Pelodiscus sinensis: one gene and its partner. The protein of the gene in region 1 purifies or fractionates together with the protein of each later gene. This does not show direct contact. Links are inferred from orthologs where the notes say so. Each region holds a gene or a part of one and is shown in the gene's direction. Other genes may lie near its edges.

Region 1 (10,690 bases):
GGATCCAAGATTCGTGTAGCTAAGGGAGGCAGGATCAAAAGTGTCTGAGCACATGTAGATACAGCTCCAGTAGCACTACTGGGTGGGACAGTGACAGTTCCAAGAAACATTTGGAGGAAGATTCGTCAAGAACAAATCAATGCCTAACCAACCCAATTGCTTCTTTGATAAGGTTACTGATCTAGTGGATGAGGGGGAAGCTGTGGACATGATATACCTGGAATTTAGAAAGGCTTTTTAACACAGTTCCATATGTCATTCTCATAAGCAAACAGGAAAATGTGATTTAGATGAAATTACAGTAAGATGGATGCACAACTTCTTTTAAAAACCCTATTCAAAGAGCATTTATCAGTGTAGTCGCTGATAATGGAGAGTATATTTAGTAGGGTTCAGTAGGCATCTGTCATGGGTCTAGTACTAAACAACCTTTGGTTAATGATTTGGATAATGAACTGGATGGAGACTATGTTCATAAAATTTGCAGATGACACAAGGCAGGAGGGGTTGCAAGCACTTTGGAGGACAGGATTACAATTCAAACCGAGTTAGACATATTGGAGAATTGGTCTGAAATCCACAAGATGAAATTCAATAAAAATAAGTGCAAAATTCTTCACTAATGAAGGAAAAATCACATGCACAGCTACAAAATGGGAAATTACTGGTGAGGCAATGGAACTGCTGAAAATTATCTGGGACTAATTACAGGATCACAAACTGAATTTGAGCCTAGAGTGTGATAATCTTGGAAAAATAATATTCTTGGGTGTTGTAACTAGGGATGTAAAAACCACCCAGAATAGTTTAACTAGTTAAATGGTTTGTTTAACCAGTCAACCACAAGCTGCGGGTGAAGGGAGCTGCTCTGGGCCATGCTCGCTGCAGCCATGGCTGGCATGGGCTGCTCCTTCCCCACCACAGCTGCAAGTGGCAGGGACTGCCATAGCTCCACCATGGATGACAGGAGCTGCTCCAGGCCCGCAACGTATCATGGCCCTGCTGACTGGGCTGTCATGTGGGGGAAGCTCTGGCTAACTGGTTAGCTGGTAAAGATGCTGGTAAGGCATATGTTGACCGGTTACCTGGTTAACCTTTCATCCCTAGGGCTGTGTCTACACTGGCATGAATTTCCGGAAATGCTTAAAACGGAATACTATTCCGTTTTCAGTTTTTCCGGAAAAGGAGCGTCTACATTGGCAGGCTGCTTTTCCGGAAAAGCCCTTTTTCCGGAAAAGCGTCTGTGGCCAATGTAGACGCGCTTTTCCAGAAAAGAGAGCCGATCGCCATTTTCGCGATCGGGGCTTTTTTCCGGAAAAGACTACTGGTCTGTCTACACTGGCCCTTTTCCGGAACAGTGTTCCGGAAAAAGGACTTATGCTCGATTGGGAGCAGAATAGTTTTTCCGGAATAGTGGCTGATTTTGTACAGTAGAGCATCATTGCTTTTCCGGAAATTCAAGGGCCAGTGTAGACAGCTCGCAGCTTATTCCGGAAAAGCGGCTGATTTTCCGGAATAAGTGGCCCAGTGTAGACACAGCCTAGCTGTAACAGGTGTGAACTTGTATGTAAGACACAAGAAATACCTGGCATTTATGCATCTCCTCATTTAGTTGTCATCATCCTGAAGTTCTTGCCTATTAAAATGCATATATCCCAGAATCTCAGAGCTGGCATTTCACCAATTTGCACAAGGCAGGCAGAGTAAGTGCCCCTGCTTAGAGGCAAGAGATCAATGGTCGCTGGGTTTGGAGTTGGTAAATCTGAGCAAGCTCCCAGGTAAGCTGTCTGACTCAGACAGGCTTGGCACAGGTGCCCCTACATTCAACCCAGATTGCTTCCAACCCAAGGCTCTGCCACTGAGGTCATCTCAGCCCCTCTGAGTCTAGGGGGGCACAGAGCCAGAGCCATTATCTCGGGGGAGGGGGGAGCCTAGATGCAGACTGACCAAAGCCAGCCTAAGTGGGCTTTGCAGGCCCCAGTTCGGGCCTAGTTGGCCCAATGTAACCCCGTCCCCTAGTCATTCCCACCCTGCCTCACAGGCTGGACTATACAAGGACCAGCTGATGTCAAACCATTGCATGTCCCAGGACCCACCTTTTATTGGTTGCTGGTGAGAAGGGGCGGTGCTTGTTGAGGCACCTGAACTACAAATAGCAGCAGCCGCATCCCCTACTCCCCTTTCCTCTGTGGCTTGGTGTGGGAGGTGAGTGTGGTGGAAGATGGGCCCCAAGCTGCTTCAGGTGCTGGGGGTGGGTCCTCCTCATGGGAGCCAAGAGGAGAAGTGAGGATTGAGGTGTCCTGGCGAGGCTGGGGACAAGCCTTTTGCTCTGGTGGTGAGGGGATGGATCAGGTGGGTCTGAGGTGTCCTGCTTGGGGTGGAAGGTGGCAGCCATGGCGGGAGGGGTCTGACCTGCCAGTGCCGGCTGCAGTGATGATTCTCCTTACACATTAGAACTTCTGACGTGGATGAAGTGAAGCTGAGTCTGAGCCCCCAGTGTCAGGTCCCACGGGCCCACTTTGCCCACAGCCTGTTTCTGCCCTGTGGGGCCTGGCCCCATCCCCACACATGCATCAGGCCCACGCACTGGGGCTGCAAACCTCACCAGACTCCTCCTCTTCGCAGGTACCTCAGGAGCCAAGTGGCGTCCTGCTGCAGTCCCTGGAGAGCTCCCGCCTGAAGCGGCCTAGTGCCCACTGACCTGCACTTATAAACAGCAACAAAATGTCTGAGCTGGTTTCCTTGCTGAGCTGCGTGGCGCTGCCTTTGAGTGGGTGCAGTGTCCCATTGACAGCTGCACGGGCTAAGCAGCGGTGCAAGCAGAAAAGCTTGTTTGTAACTGGTGTTTCTTGGCTAAACCCAGGAACATCAGGATGGGACTGGGGCGATGCTGAGAGCTCACTTGAAGATCATCCTTAAACTGACCCAGTCGGCCCTGCTGGGTGCAGGAGTGGGCTGAAGGTAGGGGAGAGGGTGGCCTAATGGATAAGGCATCAGCTGAAGGTCCTATTTGGAAATCATGGGAGGGTGGGCAAAGCCCGCCCACCTTCTAAAAGCCCCTCCCCAGCCTTACGGGAGGGACACTGGACCCATGTCCAATTAATTGCTTGGGACAAATAATGACAAAAGGGTCAGGGAGTGCGGGCTAAAGGTTCAAAATAAGGGAGCCGGATGGGGACACCGAGCAGAAAACCCCGGACAGCGCCCACTGCTCCTCAAAGCTATCGAAGGAGCCAGTGGATGCCGCCCAGAGGAACTCTGCCCGGATTCGTGAAACCAGGGAGGAACGGAAATAGGCCCCACAGTCGCAGAGAACCCCCTCGTCCAACATCCTGCTCCTGGTATTATAGATGGTGGTCTTTGCTAGGGCCAGGAGCATCAGCTGAAGGTACAGTGGTGAGGTGGGTCCCAGTGATCTAATGGATAGGGCATTAGCTCCTGCAATTGTGGGTTCAAGTCCCACCTGTGTCCCCACACACCCAAAGGCTAGAGCACCACCACCATCTTCCTGCTGGTGAGGAAAGAAAAGCCTTCAGGGGAATGGCAACCTATGGATATGCAACCTGGAGGCTTTCCCCACTGCTCCTGTTAGTCGGTGCTTCCCCCCATCCATAGAACCTGGCCAAGACCCCTGCCAGCTCTTGCACCCTCCATCCTGATCAGACACCCCTACATCCAGCAGGGCTGTCTCAGGACAAGGTGGAGGGCAGCTCCACCTCCTCCAGAAAAGGCAGGGCTGAGGGAAGTCAGTCCTTAGGACTGGCTGAGCTTGGTCCAGCCCCAGCCAGGTAAGGTAATTCACCCCAGAGCCCCTCACATACTTTACTACCGTTCCTTGCCTCTTGCACCCTCCCACACACCCTGAACCCCTCATGGATCCCAAACCAGACTCCAATGTTTCATTTATGCTATTATTCATCATGTCAATTATCAATAATATTAAGTTGTATATTTTCAGGCATTCTTATATGGCTCTTGACCACTTATTCTGAATGTTGATGTAGTTTGGCTCTTTGGTTGGAAAAGTTTGCCTATCCCTGCCTCATCCCCTACCCTTACAGGATTCTGAAAGTCGAGACCCTGCATTCGCAAGATTCTTTCTGCTGCAAGCCCTTTCATTTGGAACAACATAGCACAGTCCTACTCTTCTGTATTCCCACAAAATTACAAACCTTGATAATCATATTTCAGCTGTCCTGCATTTAATATAAACATAGCTGGTGTCGGGTTACAAATTAAGTTGATTACGATGAGCAAAATACCACTCCCTATGCTGAATGTCCCAACAAATCTAAGCAAAGCAGAAGCAAACTGTATTGACGTAGACCAGTGGTCCCCAACCTTTTGAGGCTGCCGGGCGCGTCTGGGGGTGGGGCTGTGCATGAACCATGCACCCAGTGGTGGGGCCGCACCTGTGCCATGTGTCTGGGGCTGACGCCGCGCGCCTGGGGCAGAGGCTGAGCATGCACCACATGCTCGGGGTGCAAGAATGGCTTGGGCCGGCCCTGGTCACTCAATGGGTGCACATAAATGCCCCAGCGGGCGCCATGGCGCCGGCAGGGACCACTGACATAGACCCAGGGTCTCTCCCCGCTTCCAGCTAGCTGTCATGGACGCATTCCTTCAGATCTTACTTATATCAAGACAAGAAGTAATGGGCTTAATCTGCAGCAAAGGAGATTTCAGTTGGGTCTGAGGAAAACCTTCTATCTATAAGGATAGTTACACATGGGAATAGGCTTCCAAAGGTGGTTGTGAAATCCCTGTCACTGGAGCTTTATAAGACCCTGGTAGACAAACACCTGTCAGGGACGGTCTGGGATTCTTAAACCTGCCTCAGCTGGAGGAATGGACTAGATGACCTCTTCAGGGTCCTTTCCAGCCGTAATACGTGTCTATGACTCTGCGCTGGTCAGCATTGCCCTTCAGCAGAGGAGTCAGTTGAAACTAGAGATGGCGATGCCGGGGGAACGATGCTGCAGCCCCGAAAATGCTGGTGCCGGAAACACCCTCGTTGTCCCAAAATGAAGGTGGTGGTAATTAGGGTACGGCTGCACAATGTCAGCTGGGATCCCTCAGCAGAGCCTGGGATAAACCCTGCCACTTGCTAGTTTTTTCCTTCCCCGTCCTCTTCCCTACCAGTCTGCCTTCTGCTTCAAAAATCAAGCCAGCCAAGCCTCTGCAAGGTGGGAGGCAATGAGAGTCCCAAGGCATGTGAGGAATCTTGAGCCCTCATCCTTATTCTGCTCCCTCTCTGCATTATCCTCCCTAATTCTGCCTCCCAACCCTGCAGCAATTACCTGCACTCTCCACCTCCCTACCTGCCACATCAACCTGGGAACTCCATAATGGCTAGATGTCAGCAGGCAGGAGCTGAGAAGGAAGACAGAGAGTCCACCCACCTGCCTGGAGCCATCATCCTTAGTGGCTTGGAGGAGCAAATGCAGCTTGCCTACACCTCTGCTGCAGTTCTAGACAACTACTTACTGTATTTTCTTCACACAACACACAGTCAACCAGTGGAACTCATTGCCAGAGGATGTTGTGAAGAGCAGGACTTTAACAAGGTTCAAAAAAGAGGTAGGTAAATTCATGGAGGATAAGGATAGCCTGAATTTGCACAAATGGTGTCCCCAACCTCTGTTTGTCAGAAGATAAGAATGGGGGACAGGGATTCCCTGTTTTGTTCATTCCCTCTAGAGCACCCGGCATTGGCCAGTGCTGGAAGACAGAATATTGGGCTAGATGGACCATAAGTATGGCCAGTCTTATGTTGTTATGTTTAAAAATGTGAACCAAAGAAGTCTGATTACTCAAATATTGGTTATGAAAGTTGATTTTGATAAATTATTATAACTTATGTGAATGTTGTACTGAAATCTTAAGCAAGTGCATCTTGGAAAAAATCCAGATCTTATTTTTTTTCCTCCCCAAACATGTTGCGTTTCCTTCCCTTTGCCTGAAAGTGACACATTTCAAATGCTGAAGCCTACATTCCACTTCTAAAATAGATACTTTCACCCACGAATGCATGTGTTTAATTATCAGTTTTGCGCAATCCATGTTGTGCACGTGCTGAGACCTGTTTGCATATGCTTATGTAATTCTGACAGGCAGAACCAAGCCTGGGACCTCTAAAGCTTAGTGCATGAGCCTCTACTGAGTGAGCTAAAAGCCAGCTGCCTTTCAGGTAAGGTTGTAGAGTAGACTGAGTCTCTTCGTAAGTGGTCTAGCTGCCTCTAGGTGGGACAGTAGACCACACACATACACATTTGCATTTTGAAACTATGGCCAATCATTTTTTCTTAATACTTAAAAGCAAACAATGTATACAAGGGATGTAAAAGCCCTTTTAACCAGTTAAATGGGATCCCACGGGTGGGGGCCCCTGAAGCCCGGCCAGGCTGGAGCAGCCCTCCCCCTGTGGTGTGTTGGGCCTGGCCAGGATGGAGTAGCCCCTCGCATGCATGGTGTAGCACAGCAGACCTGGCTGGGCTGAAGCAGCCTGACCAAGCCCAGCAAGCCTTGGGCTGCTCCAGCCAAGCAAGGCTGAGACCACTGCAGGCAAGGGGCTGCTCCGTCCAGGCCGGGCCCACTGCGCCATACCAGATGGGGGAAGGGGCTTCTCCAGCCTGTCTGAGCCACCAGTTAACCAGTTACATCTCTAATGTATATTCAGGTTTTCCTGAAAACTTCCCACTGTTGCTCTCACATTAGTAACATTCCACTAATATTAGAGAAGTGTAAATTGATCACTGACCTTTTCGCTACTAAGTCCTCTACTCCCAATTCAGAGATGCTCAGATGTATTGGTGAAACTGCTAGCAATTTATTTGCACTGGAACATGTTGTACCTGCATTCAGCTGGAGTACAGGTGGGAGATTTCCTGAAAACCTTCGTTGTAGACAAGGCCCTAATAGTTTTGCATTCATAGTATCCAAGCTCCTGAAAAACACAGTTGCTCTGTAATATATCTGGTTCAGCTGGTTTCATCCCTCTCCCAGTGAAAATCATTTTGTAAATGTAATACTGTATTTAAATGCAATTTCAGTCCTGTTGCATAATGTGTAGTTGACCTAATTACATATCTTTAATCTGTACAACTAAATGAGTTTTCTAAGCAGTTTTCTAAGGGATAGCATATCACTCTAATCTTCCCATCCCACCACTCAGAGTTGTTCTTTTTGCACTGCAATTTGTTGGCTTTCCAAATGCTGCTTTTTATAAATGTGGTGGTAGTGTTGCCTAGAGAATAGAACACTATTACACTGAGACAGCTCTGCCCACTAAGCTGAACTTGGGCATGTCACTTTAACCGTTCTGTGCCTCAGTTTACCCAGCTGTGCAAAAGGGGTAACAATGGCATTCCAGTTTGATTTACACTAATCCCTAGCTTTTACACAGCTTGGTAGGTCAAAGCCCTTGGCAAAGGAGGTCAGAATTCACACAGCTGCTGGATCAGCCTGTGATCCTGGCCCAAACCTCTGCCTCAAGCCATCACACCTCCCAACCACCACCTTGGAACTGGCTCTGCATTGAACAGTAACCAGTCCGCAGTACGCATGTGCAACTTTCATCTCCAGGACTGACCACTGCACATGTGCAGCTCTCCCCTTCAGGCTAGCGACACTGCGCATGCTCCCTCCTATCTTCCTCCCTTCCCTCCTACCCCCCAGCGCCTTTGCGTAAGGAGAATTCTCGCCTCAACACGCTCCAGTTCTACGCGCAGGCGCAGAGTGCGGGGGGACCCTCCTCCCCACTCCCGGCCCGTGCGCAGGCGTAGTGGCAGGATCTTACCCCGCCCCGATTCTGCGCGCAGGCGCAGAGGTAGGAGCTGCCCGTGGCCAGTGCGCAGACTCCAAGGCCATTTCCTGGATCGCTTGTCAGTGCCGGGCCCCGCCGGCCGCTCCCTCTCCCGCCGCCCGGAGCGGAGTCGCGTTGACTGACCAGAGTCCGCGAGTCCCGCTCCGCTGCCTCCTCCCCTCCCCCCTTAGGTAAGTGCCGGCGCCGCGCTCACCCCGAGCCCTTCCAGGCCCCCTCCCCTCAGCGAGTACCTGGGCCCGCCCACTTGCCTCACGCGGGGGGGGCGACGACCGGACCCCGCCCCCTCCTCCCCATTCTCCTTGCGGCGGGGGGGTTCGACTGTTCCCAACGGCTGCGGGGTGGGGCAGGGCACTGCCGAGCGGCGGGGCTGACCCCTCCCCCCCCCCCCCGCTGTCTCTCCTCCCTCCCCCCCCCCACTCACCGGGGCCGAGGTCTCGGCGCACCTGTGCGGGGAGCCGCGGGGTGCCGGGGCCAGCCCTCCCCAGCGTCGAGGGCGAGCCCCGCGCGCCCGTGGCAGGAGCAGCAGGGGCACAGCCTGAGCGAACAGCTTCTCCTGCTGTAACGCCGCCTGTATCCGGGCGGGAGGGTCGTTAGCCCCGGGAGAGGCCGACTTGCAGGGGCAGTGAGCTGCAGACACCGCCCTTCCAGGAGGGATGCTAGAATCTTTGTCGCCGTGTCACCCCTGAAATTGTCAGTCTTTGCGTCGGGTGGCAGTCGGCTGCCCTGGAGCTGGGGTGCAGAGGGGGAGCCAACCAGCATGTTGCATGTACTGGTTCCCGCCTGCCCCCCCCCTGCACTGCTGCCTCTGATACAGCGACAGCAATGCAGGGTGGCAGGCTGCTCCCTGAGAGCCGGCGTTTAAGCCAGCTCCCCCACAGGAGCCTGCTTGTAGGTCTCATTGGTTAACTGTCTACATCAGTGGTCCCCATCCTTTTCAGGTTGCCGGGTGCCAGGGGGCGTGGCCGTTCGCCCGCCGGGCGCCAGGGGGCGGGGACACTTGCCCGCCCGGGGGCGGCCCCCCCCAGCCGCATGCCCGGGGGCGGGGCCCCCCCCATAGCCACGCACCCGGGGAAGGTGCCCCCCGGCAAGCGCCGCGCGCCCGGGGCCGGTGCTCCCCCCGTAAGCGCCGCGGGGCCGGGGCCGTGGCCAGGGCACGCGCGGCGCCCCCGGGGTGGGGCCAAGGCCGGAGCCGGCCAGGGCACGCGCGGCGCCCCCGGGGCCGGGACCGGCCATGCGTCCGGGGCTGGCACCTGCCAGCCCAGATTGCTCCGCGGGCGCATGTAAAGAGCCCGGCGGGCGCCATGGCTCCCGTGGGCACCGGGTTGGGGACCACGGGTCTACATGATTGCACTTTCCACTTTCACATCCCTACCTTCCAGGTGACTTATGTGATCTGAAAGGAGATTGGCGGGGGTTAAAAAATATTTGTTTGGCACTATATCTGGATTCTCAGGCAGTATTCCTACTCCATGGTTGTTGGGAATAGCCCTGTAGTGTATTTGCTGTCTTAATTAGGGAATGACAGCAGCCTAATACTCTTCACCCTGTTATCTCCCCCCTTCTCCCTCCAAAAAGGAATCTGATACTGTATTAAAAACATAAAATTCCCAATTTTAAATTTCCAGTTGATATTGGAAAGCAAAGATTATTACTCTGCAGTTATATTCAGTAGCTATCTGAGGCCAAGTGCCTAGATAACAAGGTTAACTAGGGTGATATATTTCCTGTGGGGGATTCTCAAATTAGTCTGACAGGCAGGTATTGGTATTAAAAGTATTGGTAATAGGGATGTAAGCGATTAGTAGTCGACTATCCAATAAATATAGTTGCTTCCACTCCCCCTTGCTGCCTCTGTCATAGAAAGGCAGCAAGGGGGGGAACAGGAGCCGGTGCTGGGGGGTGCACCGGTTCCCACTGTGGCTGCCTTTATGAGAGGCAGCAAAGGGGGAGAACAGGAGCCAGTTCTGGGGATGCCACCGGTTCCCCTCAGCGCCATCTCCAGGGTGCCACCTACTCCCCCTTGTTGCCTCTATCAGCTCTGGCTGCCACAAACAGGGGTTGGTGCCAGAGCAGCCTCTATTTGTGACAGCCAGCCTTGTCCACCACGAACGGAGGCTACATCAACACTAGGCCCTGTTTGCAGCAGACAGGGCTGCTGGGCTCAGTGTGAGCCGAGACCGAGCAATACTGGCTTTTGCTGATTGTTGTGCCTCTGCATTTTAAATGTAGTAAGAGCCTGACAGCTCTTACTACATTTAAAATGCAGAGCTACAGCACAGGTGGCTCCTGGAGTCAGCACGAGCCAGGACTGCTCAGTCCCGGCTTGAGCCTGCTCCTGAAGCTACCCCTGCTGTGGCTCTGCAGAGCAGTCCTATCGACTAATTGGATATTCGATAGAATTTGTATCGACTATACAAATAGCTGGATAACCTCATTTTAACATCCTTAATTGGTGGTTGAGAACTGCACTAAACACCTATCAGTAATATCAAAGTGCCAACTTCACTAAAATGTGGATTAGTGTCTTTGTCCTTCAGTGAGCTCTTTGGTGATTAGGAAGAGTATGATTAAAACATTTTATTGAATTGAATTTGTATTGAATTGTTCTTGACTCTCCTATAAGTTGAAAGTTAGGAAGAGGATATTATAGTTATCAAATATTGGTGAGAAGTATTCTTTGAGAATATTTTCTCCCAGCATTGCTTTCTCTTGTGATTAGTTGGTCATCCAATACAGAATGCTTGTCACTAATACAGGTGATCCAATGTCTGTCTTATGAATACGATTATTGTGCCAGAGAAATCTAGTTATTTGGAAAGAATGGATGATACCTTTTCTCTTGATTCACTGAATGGGCATTTTAAG
Region 2 (10,979 bases), on another chromosome or scaffold:
GTATGCAATGCTTTTATTACATACTTTGCACTTTTATGGGACGGGGGTAGTAGCAGGTAGAGACATTTTCTGTTATGTTTTGGGTTTTTTTTTAAACAAAGAAGGCAGGCCCACAAAATCAAGGACAATCTTGGATCTTATGCTTCCAACTTTACCTCTCTTAATTTGAGACTGCCATCCACAAAGCTTTCTAGTCTCTACTTGAGCAGCAGTATATTCAGAGGAGAATATGCATTATATTAGCAGTGTACATGTAAAGGAAATGGGAGGGATAAATTATGAGTTTCTTTTTTCTTCTTTCAGGATTGTTAATTACAGAAATATGAACCCAGAAAGGCAAACTTTTTTCCAGGAATATCTGACAAATCAAGGAACAGCAGTAAAGTCCTACTACTGGCAGACACAGAGCTGTGCTAAATGCCCCTATCATATACGGACAGGTGAAGAAGAAAGAGTCCCTTATGTGGAATTTCATATGGCCTTTGGATTCCCATATGGGCTACTGAGTCCTCAAAACAAACATCTTATATTCTATGAACTGAGGAGCTTCTCTGGGACATAGGGTTACCAGGTGTCCAGTATTCACCTGAACAGTCCAGTATTTTCTGATTTTTTCCCTGGCCAGGATGCAAAAATGCTGGGCACCTGGCAACCCTACAAACACTCAGCACCTGGCCTTCCCCCCCCCCCCGACACCCCCTCTCCCCGGCTCCCAACACACCCAGCCCCCCCCCCCCCCCCCGACCCCAGTCCCCATGCTTACCTGGTTCCACAAGGCTGCCTGCACAAAATGACTGCCGACCAAGGGGAAGCAATGCTTCCACTGGGTCTTAGTGCTCAACTCCTCCCCTGTTCCTATCCCTGCACTCACTCTTAAAGGGGACATGCTGTTTTAATGCCGTTTTATTTTATTTTATTTTTTGCTCAACTACTTTGGTCTCTCCCCCTCCCTTTTTCCCCCCCTTCAACAGAATTTTTTCCTGGTGGTTTTTTTTTTTGGGGGGGGGGGGGGGAGAAGAGTGTTCAGAATTTTTGTTTCAACCATCTGGCAACCCTACTGGGACACTAGTCCAAAAGGGCCATGCAACCAACTGCCTTAAGTGTAACATCCATCCAGAGTCTATGTTGTTTGAGATGTGTGGTTATCTGCATGTAGTTACATACGATTATGACGGCATTGGGTATATAATTCTTTATTCAAACTATTCTCCTTGTAATGAGGCTGAGCACTGCTGCATAAGCAAGATCTACAACTTCTTGACAAAGTACCGAGACATTATCTTCTGTATTTATTTCTCTCAGCTTTATTACACTGAGGATGATTTCCCTGTGTCCATATGGAACTGTGAAGCTTTACGAAGCCTTGCCAGCTTATGGCCTTATGTGACTCTGAACCCATTATGTGGTAGGATCTGACATTCCCTCCTTTGCAATTTTGTGAGTGGTATGCCAGAAGCAACCCTTTACTATCCAGTTTTACCTGCAAGAGCGTTAGCTGATCATCAAAATTCACATACAATTAACAACATAACAGGAATGAAATCTTATTTCATGAAAGCATCTCCCCAGGCAACATATATGAAAATCAAAAAGATCGGTAGAATTTGCAGCAAATATTATTTTGCTCACCCACCTTCAGCAATGATGGATGGCAGATTGCCACCACTTATGACTGACTCACAGCCATTTGGTACCTTTTGCAAGCAAGTTTCTGCCCTTTGGAGGGCAATATTCAGATCTCAAACCTAACAATATTGTAAGGCATTTAAAAATGTCTAAGGGGTTATCTAATGATACCAGTCATTCACAAACCTTTTCCCATGGAAGACCGATTCAGATGGTAGAAATCACTGAACGACTTTTAAGTAGTAAGACTACAGATATCAAAGGGGGGAAAAGAAGTAAAGGCATCTCTTACGAAAGTTAATATACAAGCAGGGGGTCTAGATGGGTCAGAAAACTGATGTTGTGGATCTGGAAACTTTTACCTTTTGAATACTCATTTAAATCCAAACTAGGCCAGTAATGATGAAAATTCAGGACCCACTAATGACTTTTAGTGATGTACAAAAAATGGAATTGACGGGTCTCAATCCGATTTTCACCAGAGAGATATCCACATTATACAAGACACCAGCATAATTAATATCTTTATTAGAAGCATCAGCATATGGCAAAGATGAAATGGACAATATGGCCCAAACTCTACCTGGATCTGCAGAAATGATTCCTTCAGCTAAGAGTGGGCATAACCTGGGAAATACTATGCTCTCAGTACCGATCCTGTGAATAAAAAAGCCTTCACCCTCCAAGGCTGCTACCTCTCACCTCCCAGAAGTTCACATAGTATGATTTTTAAGTTATATTTAAAAATATAACAGAATTATATGAAACTTTTATATAAAGTTTGAAAAGGTAGTGCTGAAATTATATACAGTATGAAGCTTAAATTATTACAATACTGAAAGCACTATACAATTATTTGTTATTAATATTTAATGTTATAAAATACTGCAACTAAAGAAAAGTTGGTAACTCCACTTAGCTTCTCACTTTTCCATGCAACATAGCAACACAAATTCTGTATCCAAGAAATGCACACTATCCCCTCTGATGCTTGATACTGCAAGTTGCTGAGTACAGTAGACTTCCGATAATCCGGCACCCTTGGGACCCAGGTGGTGCCGGATTATCAGAAATGCCGGACTATCAGGAGGTACTCTGGCAGGGGCGGGTCTCGTCAGAGGGGAAGCGGGGGAGGGGGCGGGGGTGTGCCAAACCCTCCCTCCTGCTGCAGGGAGGCAGAGCCTGCGAGTGGTGGGAGAGGAGAGGCGGTGACAGGCAGGCAGCCGCATTCAGGACGTTCTGGTCAGTTACAGTCACTCCGGCTGGATCCACAGCCGACACGCAGTTAATGTAACTTTCCTCTCTACTGCCGGGAGGAGGGGGGGGCAGGGGAAGGTAGGGGTCGGTGGGAGAGGGACCCCTGCCCCCCCCCCATCCTCCCCCCTCCCAGCAGTAGAGAGGAAAGTTACATTAACAGCGTGTTGGCTGTGGATCCAGCCGGAGTGACTGTAACTGACCAGAACGTCCTGAATGCGGCTGCTTTGGCACACCCTCGCCCCCTCCTCCTCCCCCACCGACCCCTACCCCCCCCCCTCCTCCCGGCAGTAGAGAGGAAAGTTACATTAACTGCGTGTCGGCTGTGGATCCTGCCGCAGTTAATCAATTACTCTAACAACTTGAAGCAACTGCCAGAGCACTTCCGGGTTGCAGTTGGTGCCGGACCATCAGGCATACCGGACCACTGGATGCCGGACCACCGGAGTTTTACTGTACTTTCACTTCAGTTGTACAATATACTTGAATGAAGTCAAGCATGTTCCGTAGTCTGGGAAGGGTTAGGGTCTCAGTATCAGAACTCCCTAAGGATGGTAAGATGCGGTTAATGGCTAATCAAGTAGTGGACAGAATTTTTATCAACTACTTGATTAGCTAATAAAGAAAGGCAGCTCGGCCCAGTTCCAGCTTGCACCAGATCTGGGACCTACCCCCTCTGTGGCTCTGCAGTTTAAATGTACTAAGAGCCAGGTGGGCAGGCAGCCCAGCTCAGTCCCGGTTTAAGCCAGGTCTGGAACCTACCCCCACTGCAGCTCTGCATTTTAGATGCAGGAAGAGCCGGGCTGCTTATCCGCTTGGCTCTTAGTACATTGAGGCTATGTCTAAACTGCATCCCTTTTTCGATAAAAAGGATGTAGTTTAGACATACCCTAAAATGGCAAAGCTGCAGCAGGAGTAGGTCCCAGACTTAGTGGGAGATGAGAATGAGCTTGGTTGCCTGCACGGCCAGAACAAAATAACCGGTAAACCTCGCTGTATGAGGAATAAGGGTTATTTCAGAAGAAGGGTTTTCTCCCGAAATAATCACGTCTACACAGCGTTTGTTATTTCAAAATAGGGTAATTCAAAATAGCGGCAGACTGCGATAATGCAAATGAAGCATGGGAAATTCAAATCCACGCTTCATTTGCAATTTCGCTCAGCTGCATTTGCATCCCTCTCTCAAAAGAGGGTGAAAGTGTAGACAGACCCTCAAAAAGGCAGCAAGGGGGAAGAAGCAAGTAGTCAACTAAATTAACCAATAAGCCTAGGCTTATCTGTTACTCAACTAGTCAACTACTTGCTTACATCCGTAGAACTCCTTGCTTCTATATCTTAACAACGTTAAGTGCTCCGGGGCCTACTTCAACTCCCACTGACATCACTTAATTGTATTTTTAAAACATGACAAAATACAGTTAAGGGAACATGTGATAAAATATTTTGAAAGATTTTTTTATATATTGGCATTGGAAAAAGTTCAGAAAAGGTAAGCCCCTTATCATTTTGGTTGCCAATGGCTGCCATATGAGGAGAGATTAAAAAGACTGGAAAAGGAAGACTAAGCTTAGAAAAGAGAAGACTAAATTGGGATATGATAAAGTTTTATAAAATCATGACCAGTGTGGAGAAAGTAGATAAGGAAAAATTATGCACTTGCTCCCATAATGCAAGAAAGGTCACTGAATTAAACTGACAGATTTAAAACAAACAAAAGGAAGTGTTTCTTCACATAATGCAGTCAACCTGTGGTACTCCTTGCTAGATGTTGTGAAGACCAGGAGTTTAACAGGGTTTAAAAAAGAACTAGATAAATTCATGGGGGATAAGTCTAGTTTTGGCTATTAGCCAGGGTGGACAGAAATAGTGCACTGAGCCTGTTTATCAGAAGCTGGGAATGAGTGACAGGGGAGAAATCACTTGATGATTACGTGTTCTGTTCATGCCCTCTGGGACACTTGGCATTGGCCACAGTCAGAAGACAGAATACTGAGACAGATGGACCTTGGGTCTGACTCAGTCTCACCGTTCTTATGTTATTAATATCGAGGGTTTTTTTTAAAATGTACTTTTCACTATTTCTATATTACTTCACTCTCTGTACTTCCTCAGCTTGCACTGTAAAAGTCCATTTCACTTTCTCCTTGTATAGCATTAACCTAATGCTTTTGCGTTTGGATTCCCAGTACCACGGGACAACGTTTAATCTGCTAAAACAATGTATGTTTTGAGTATTATGCAAGTATCATGATTCGTATTAGATTCTGCAAAATACTTTTTGTAAACTCAGATTTTTTACTCACATTTACTAATGTCTATTTTACATACAATACTAATATAATTTATACTTCAATTCAATCTGATCTTCATAGGCCTCAAAGATCATTTAAAGATGTTTATAGCAATATAAAGACGGGGATTACTATTTGCAGAAAAAAGCAGGAACCGGGAGTCCAGATGCTTGGGTTTTAGTCTCAGTTCTACCACTGATTCACCACGACCCACTCACTACCACCCACATTTCCAAAGGGGCCCCTTCTTGTGGGCACCTAATTTATTTATGAGCCTGGTCTGGGGCACGGTGGGTGAGCTTGCCAGCGAGGCTGAGCGTGCCCGCACCGAAAGGAGACGAGTGACACTGAAACCTGCCCACCTGGAGAAACCGCGGCAACCAGAGACATGGGGCAGCGCTCAACGGTTGAGCCTCTGTGCCTCAGTTTCCCCATCTAGAAAACGGGTCTGCGAGCGCGAGGCCTGCTCCCGGGGGCTAGGCGGGGAGTCCGCAGGGGAAGCGCTCGGGCCGGGAGCCCCACTGACCGGCGCTGGGAGACAGACCTGGGGGGCGGCGCGCTCGCCCCTGAGCACGGAGGGGGGCAGGGGGCTCCCGGCGCGTCCCCGCGCCTCACACCCACGTGTGGGGCAGCGACTCAGCCGAGCGCGGCGGGGCCGGTAGCGGCGCTTCACACCCCGCCCGCCACGACCCACCCTACTGCGAGCGCCCGTTAGCGACGGGAGGCCGCTCCCATGGAAACGGGCCCCCTTCGGCCCAGGAGAGCACGTGACCACCCCCTGCCGACCAATCGCAACAACTCACCTGCTCCTCCCCGACCCTGCCTTCCTCCGCCCACTTGCCTGTTCTGCGTCTGCGCTCAAGGGCCCGCCGGCTGCCGCAGAGGAAAAAGGAAGTCCGTGCAGATCGCATGCGCAGAGAAGAAGGGGTGCGGTTTTAAAGTGCGCGTGCGTTTAAAAAAAAAAAAAAAAAAAAGAGAGAGGCGGCATTGCGAGGCGCATGCGCTCACCCACGAGTGTCAAGCGCGAGCGGCTAAACCGTAGGAAGAGAAAGTCGCTCGAGCGACTTTTTCCTAGTGCGCATGATCGGAAGTGAGAGGCGGAAGGAGCGCTGTGCGCTGCGCATGCGCGCTGCTGCTTGCTGCGGGCAGCAGGGGGCGGGCACCGCCCTGCGGAGGGGAGCGGGCGGGAGGCGCCGGCAGGTTCCGGGGCGATGGCGAAGAACACGGTGTCGTCTGCGCGCTTCCGCCGGGTGGACGTGGACGAGTACGACGAGAACAAGTTCGTGGACGAGGAGGAGGGAGGCGACGGCCAGGCCGGGCCCGACGAGGGCGAGGTGGACTCCTGCCTGCGGCAATATCCTTCCGCGGGCGCCGGGGAAAGAGTCCCGGCCTGGACGGGGGAGGGGCGCCCAGCCCTGTCGCGAGCCCGGGGGACCCGAGGGCACAGGCGGGACGCTGCGCCCCCGGCCCTGAGCCTGCCGGGGCTCTGCGGCGTGGACAGGGGCGGCCTCCTCCGTGCCCCCGCCGCGTCCCGCAGCCCTGCCTCTTAGCTGCGCCCCCGGGAGCAGGCTGCGAGCGGGGCCGGCCCGCCCGGCCCCAGAGAGTGACGTGCAGGGCTGGGGGGCGCTGACAGCCCAGGGGTGCTCGGTCCTCACCCCCAGGCCCGTCTAGGCAACTTGTTACAAACAGCCTTCAATTCCCCGGCCTGCCTGTGTCTAGGCCCTGGGGTGAGCGCCCTGCTGCCCAGAGAGACCGTTAGACCTGTATGTAAGTTCATATCCGCCAGCTCTTTGGTTCCCAGTTTTCATGGGCATGCATGCGCTGGAGGATGTGGTCCTGTCTGACCTCACGAGAGCAGGAGGGAGGGCCAGCGAAAGAGCCCTGCCCCCAAACCCCTCTTGCACTGCAGAGTTGGAGGAAGTGTGTTCTCTGTGAAGTTTTCCTTTTATGGGAATAATTGCACCTAGTCTGTGATAATCTAGTTGCTTTTTACTTCCACATATTAGTGCCTTTAGCTTCAGATGTGCCCTTTCTGGGTGAGGCTGCGCTTGATAAGGTTAGCTTGTAAGTGGGTTTTATGGTTTCAAATTTGAGGTGAGGGGAAAAACCTGGAGGGGAAAAAAAACAAAAGGGAAATGTTTGCTCAAAACCATAAGACCCTTTAAGAAAATTCAAATGGGAGCTGCTTAGTATCCTTTTCTGTACAATCTGCCGGAAGCCTGAATTAGCTGTGTTTCTAGAGCATGTTTTGTTCTAGTTCATGACAATAATGGAGGCAGTCTTGGGATCTCATTGTTCTATAACAGGGCTACTCAAGGCACACGCCCCGTAGGCTGCATGCAGCCCGTTTGTTTGCGCTCAGCGTTGCGGGTCCTTTGAACAGGGCTTCCGTTAGGAACATGCTCCACAACAGCAACTCCATATAATGGTCTTCTGTTGATATGTGTTAGTAGTTAAATTCCTGGACTCTCATTGTTCATTAAAAGTGCTGTCGTATGGGTGAAAATCTGCTGATATTAATAAAATGCAATATTCACCTGAACTGACTTAAATGGGACCTGCGTGTTATGTAGTCTTGCCTTAATCTTTGTATTCATGCCCGTCAGTGTGAAAGAAGCTATTTGCATATAAATTTGCATGTATACGCAATCACGCTTAAGTTGCAGCCCTTAGCATGTGCTGTAAGTATCATTGTGGCCCCTGGGGCTTCCAAAGTTGAGTACTCCCCTCTGATACCCAGGGCTCGACAAATAATACAATCTACTCGCCCATGGTGAGTAGACTGTAACCTGGAAGGCCCATGTGCAGATCACCAGACAGCGCAGCTGGCAAGCAGGGCTCGCCGCAGTTCGGCGAGCCCTGGTGATACCCATTAGTTGTGTCACTTAATGCACTACTGGGAGGTTTCTAGATGATGCAGTATAAGAATCTTAATAGAAAACTCTTCTGAATCATAACCAACTACAGTGTGATGAATTGACTGATAGATTGAACATCAACAGGAAAGGAAAGGTCAATCTGAGGCCCTAACTGATGATATTTTTCCGATGTATGTACAAAGTATGTTCTCATTCACCAGCTTGTTTCAGCAATCACATCTTCTTTTCGTGTGTGTGTGTGTGTCAAACAGCCATGTTATAACTTGTTGCATGATATTTTGCCAATCTGTGTGGAGTTTGAAGATAAAAGGGGTCAACTTAGAATTATTTATATTTGGATCTTTGTTGTGTGATTTGGTGCACTCTGATGCTGACAACTGTACCACCTTAGTATTGATCCCATTGCTTTAAATGACTGGGTAATACTTGCTACTTTGAACACTTCAGTAGGTGCAACAGTATGGAAAATATTCTCTCCACAAATCCATGCTTGATATTCCCAGTAAGAAACAGGTTACTTGTGAATCCCACTCTATTGTGACTATCTCTGCTGCTTTCTATGTCCTTGTTTCCCCATCTTTCCTTAACTCATGTTTACAGGAAACATGATGGCTGCATTGCAGGCAGCCCTAAAGAATCCTCCAATCAATACCAAGAACCAAGCAGTAAAGGTGAAGTAGTTAATAACTCACATTCATGTGCCATGCTGTAAATTCTTTCCTAATTCCCTAAGACTTCTACAGATTGCTCACTGTTCCTCTCTGAGGTGATTAAGCTCTTCCTGTATACTCAGCCCAAGTACAGGGCATCCCTCATACACATCCATTCTGCACTAGTCATTTAAGCTTGTAGGAACAGAGGCATGATTAGTCCTCTCATTTCCCCGCTCTTCAGTTGTGCAAAAAAAAAAATGCACAAATGAAAGTCAGCTGGAGGGGGAGGGGGAATTCCCTGCTTCAAGTTGTTTTGCTATAAATCCAAGGTTTTTTTGTAACGTATCTTGGACTTAAAGCGATACATGGCCCGTGAACTTACCAAAAAAATCACCTCAGACTAGTAAGCACTGACTGGCTGTGTCCAGTCCATAGTTCTAGCTAACAAGGAATTTTTAAGCTGGCTTCCCATGCGTACCAGCTCCCAGGGAGCCAACTTCCCCTCCATGCTTCCCCTCACCCCAGGCCTGGTGCTGCTTCCTCTCTGGCAGGGAGGAGGGAAGAGGGGTCCAGATGGCAGCCACCTCCCCCTGCATGTAACTGCTGAAGTGTTCAGAGGTTATACATTTACCTAAATAAACACATTTTAACTTCCTTAGTTATAATACAGTACTCAGTGAGGGAAGAGAAAGATAATGCAGAGTAAAAATAGATCTCAGCTGAACAGAACTCCGTGCTCAGTAGAAATACTTCTCCTTTAAGATCTCTTTTGGCCCACAGAAGTGCTGTCCATCTAGACAATGTAAAAATAAGAGGTTGCTTAGTTGGTGAGAGGGAAGCCAATCAGACCTGTAATTTCCGACGACTTTTGAACTGTCCAGTCAAGAGAGAAAGTTCAGTACCACCCTTATGCTATGGGTGGAGTCCTGCAAACAAAAGCTAGTCTTAATAAGCAAAGATAGAAACCTAGAACAAACTTGTTACAAATGCAGTGACGAGAATGAGTCTCTTGTTTGAGACTAGCTTCTTTCACCTCAGTGGCGATGTGCTGCCCTTTAATTTATCTAAAACTTGATTTCAAATTAATTGCATATGTTAACTGTAAATTGAAATTTATTTAGAATTAAATGGCTATAGCAAAGTCCATGGAGGTCATACTGTCGTAGGGCAGAGGTGAATGTCTGTTGAACAGTATGCTTGACAACTTGGTATGTGTTCGAGCTGCCTTGGCTTTTTGAATTAAGAATAAAGCTTTACCTCCTGGGAGATCATTAACATTTGGCTGTCTGTCATGTTATTCCAAGTTATGACTTTTCCCCTTGTTTACAGGATCGTGCAGAAAGCATCGTCCTAAAAGTCCTCATCTCATTCAAAGCCAATGATATTGAAAAGGCAGTACAGTCTCTGGACAAGAATGGAGTTGATCTGCTAATGAAATACATCTACAAGGGGTTTGAGAGCCCCTCTGACAACAGCAGTGCTGTGTTATTGCAGTGGCATGAAAAGGTGTGTGAAGTCTGTTGCTTTTGGCTGGATAATTGCATGGACAGAGACTCTGGCATCCAGGATTCTGTCTTGAGTCCAATAGGAATCATCCTTCTTTCCCTTAAGTCTATTATTCATATTACAACAGTTGGGGTGGAAAGGACATGGTACCCTAGAGAACCATGTGAAATTAATGCACACTTCCTATTATATATTGATTCACATAAACTCTAGAGATGAAGTTTTATTGTGTATTAGATACGAATGAAAATGATCCATTGTACATTTCCTAAAAGCTATACTGTCTCCGTACAAGAGCACACTAATCTAAAGGTTAAAACAGGGAACGTAGCTAGGAATAGAACCCAAGACTCCTAATACCCCCAGTGACTGACTTATGCAAATTATCTAATGCTTCGGTCCATTTCCCTATATAAAATGAATATAGTAATGCTTCCTGATTGAAGAAAGCTGATCTTTAGTATCTATAGAGCACACTGCAGTGTTCAGATGAAACTCACTGAAGTCCAGGTAGTAACTGTTTCCATCTGTGGTTATCATGGCTTGTATTAACTATTACTTCTCTTTTTTTTCTTTCCTCCTCCTCTCTCCCTCCAGGCTCTCGCTGCTGGAGGTGTAGGGTCCATTGTCCGTGTCTTGACTGCCAGAAAAACGGTTTAAGTCCAACAGCCAGTGACTGCTTGCTGTGGGTGTGCAAAATGCTGGTACAATGACCAAAACAACCAAATGCCACTGCTGCCCTGGGGGTAGGGTCTGTGTCTCAGCTTGCC

The links. The genes of interacting proteins can lie anywhere in the genome.
Region 2: the proteins of ARPC1A (region 1) and ARPC5 fractionate together in Homo sapiens (co-fractionation; 8 studies listed by BioGRID and IntAct, counting the BioPlex papers as one, with this or other methods). This does not show direct contact. The link is inferred for Pelodiscus sinensis from reciprocal best matches to the Homo sapiens genes ARPC1A and ARPC5.

Annotation. Positions count from the first base shown.
Region 1 is NC_134726.1:31,936,218-31,946,907, forward strand, and holds the start of ARPC1A (actin-related protein 2/3 complex subunit 1A), read left to right. Parts: upstream 1-6,166; 5' UTR 6,167-6,190; intron 6,191-6,760; exon of another isoform or gene 6,761-6,946; intron 6,947-7,824; exon of another isoform or gene 7,825-7,995; intron 7,996-8,246; exon of another isoform or gene 8,247-8,411; intron 8,412-10,690. UniProt on the Homo sapiens protein: Probably functions as a component of the Arp2/3 complex which is involved in regulation of actin polymerization and together with an activating nucleation-promoting factor (NPF) mediates the formation of branched actin networks.
Region 2 is NC_134719.1:57,209,230-57,220,208, forward strand, and holds the start of ARPC5 (actin-related protein 2/3 complex subunit 5), read left to right. Parts: upstream 1-6,285; 5' UTR 6,286-6,382; coding exon 6,383-6,525; intron 6,526-8,648; coding exon 8,649-8,721; intron 8,722-10,032; coding exon 10,033-10,209; intron 10,210-10,806; coding exon 10,807-10,869; 3' UTR 10,870-10,979. UniProt on the Homo sapiens protein: Component of the Arp2/3 complex, a multiprotein complex that mediates actin polymerization upon stimulation by nucleation-promoting factor (NPF).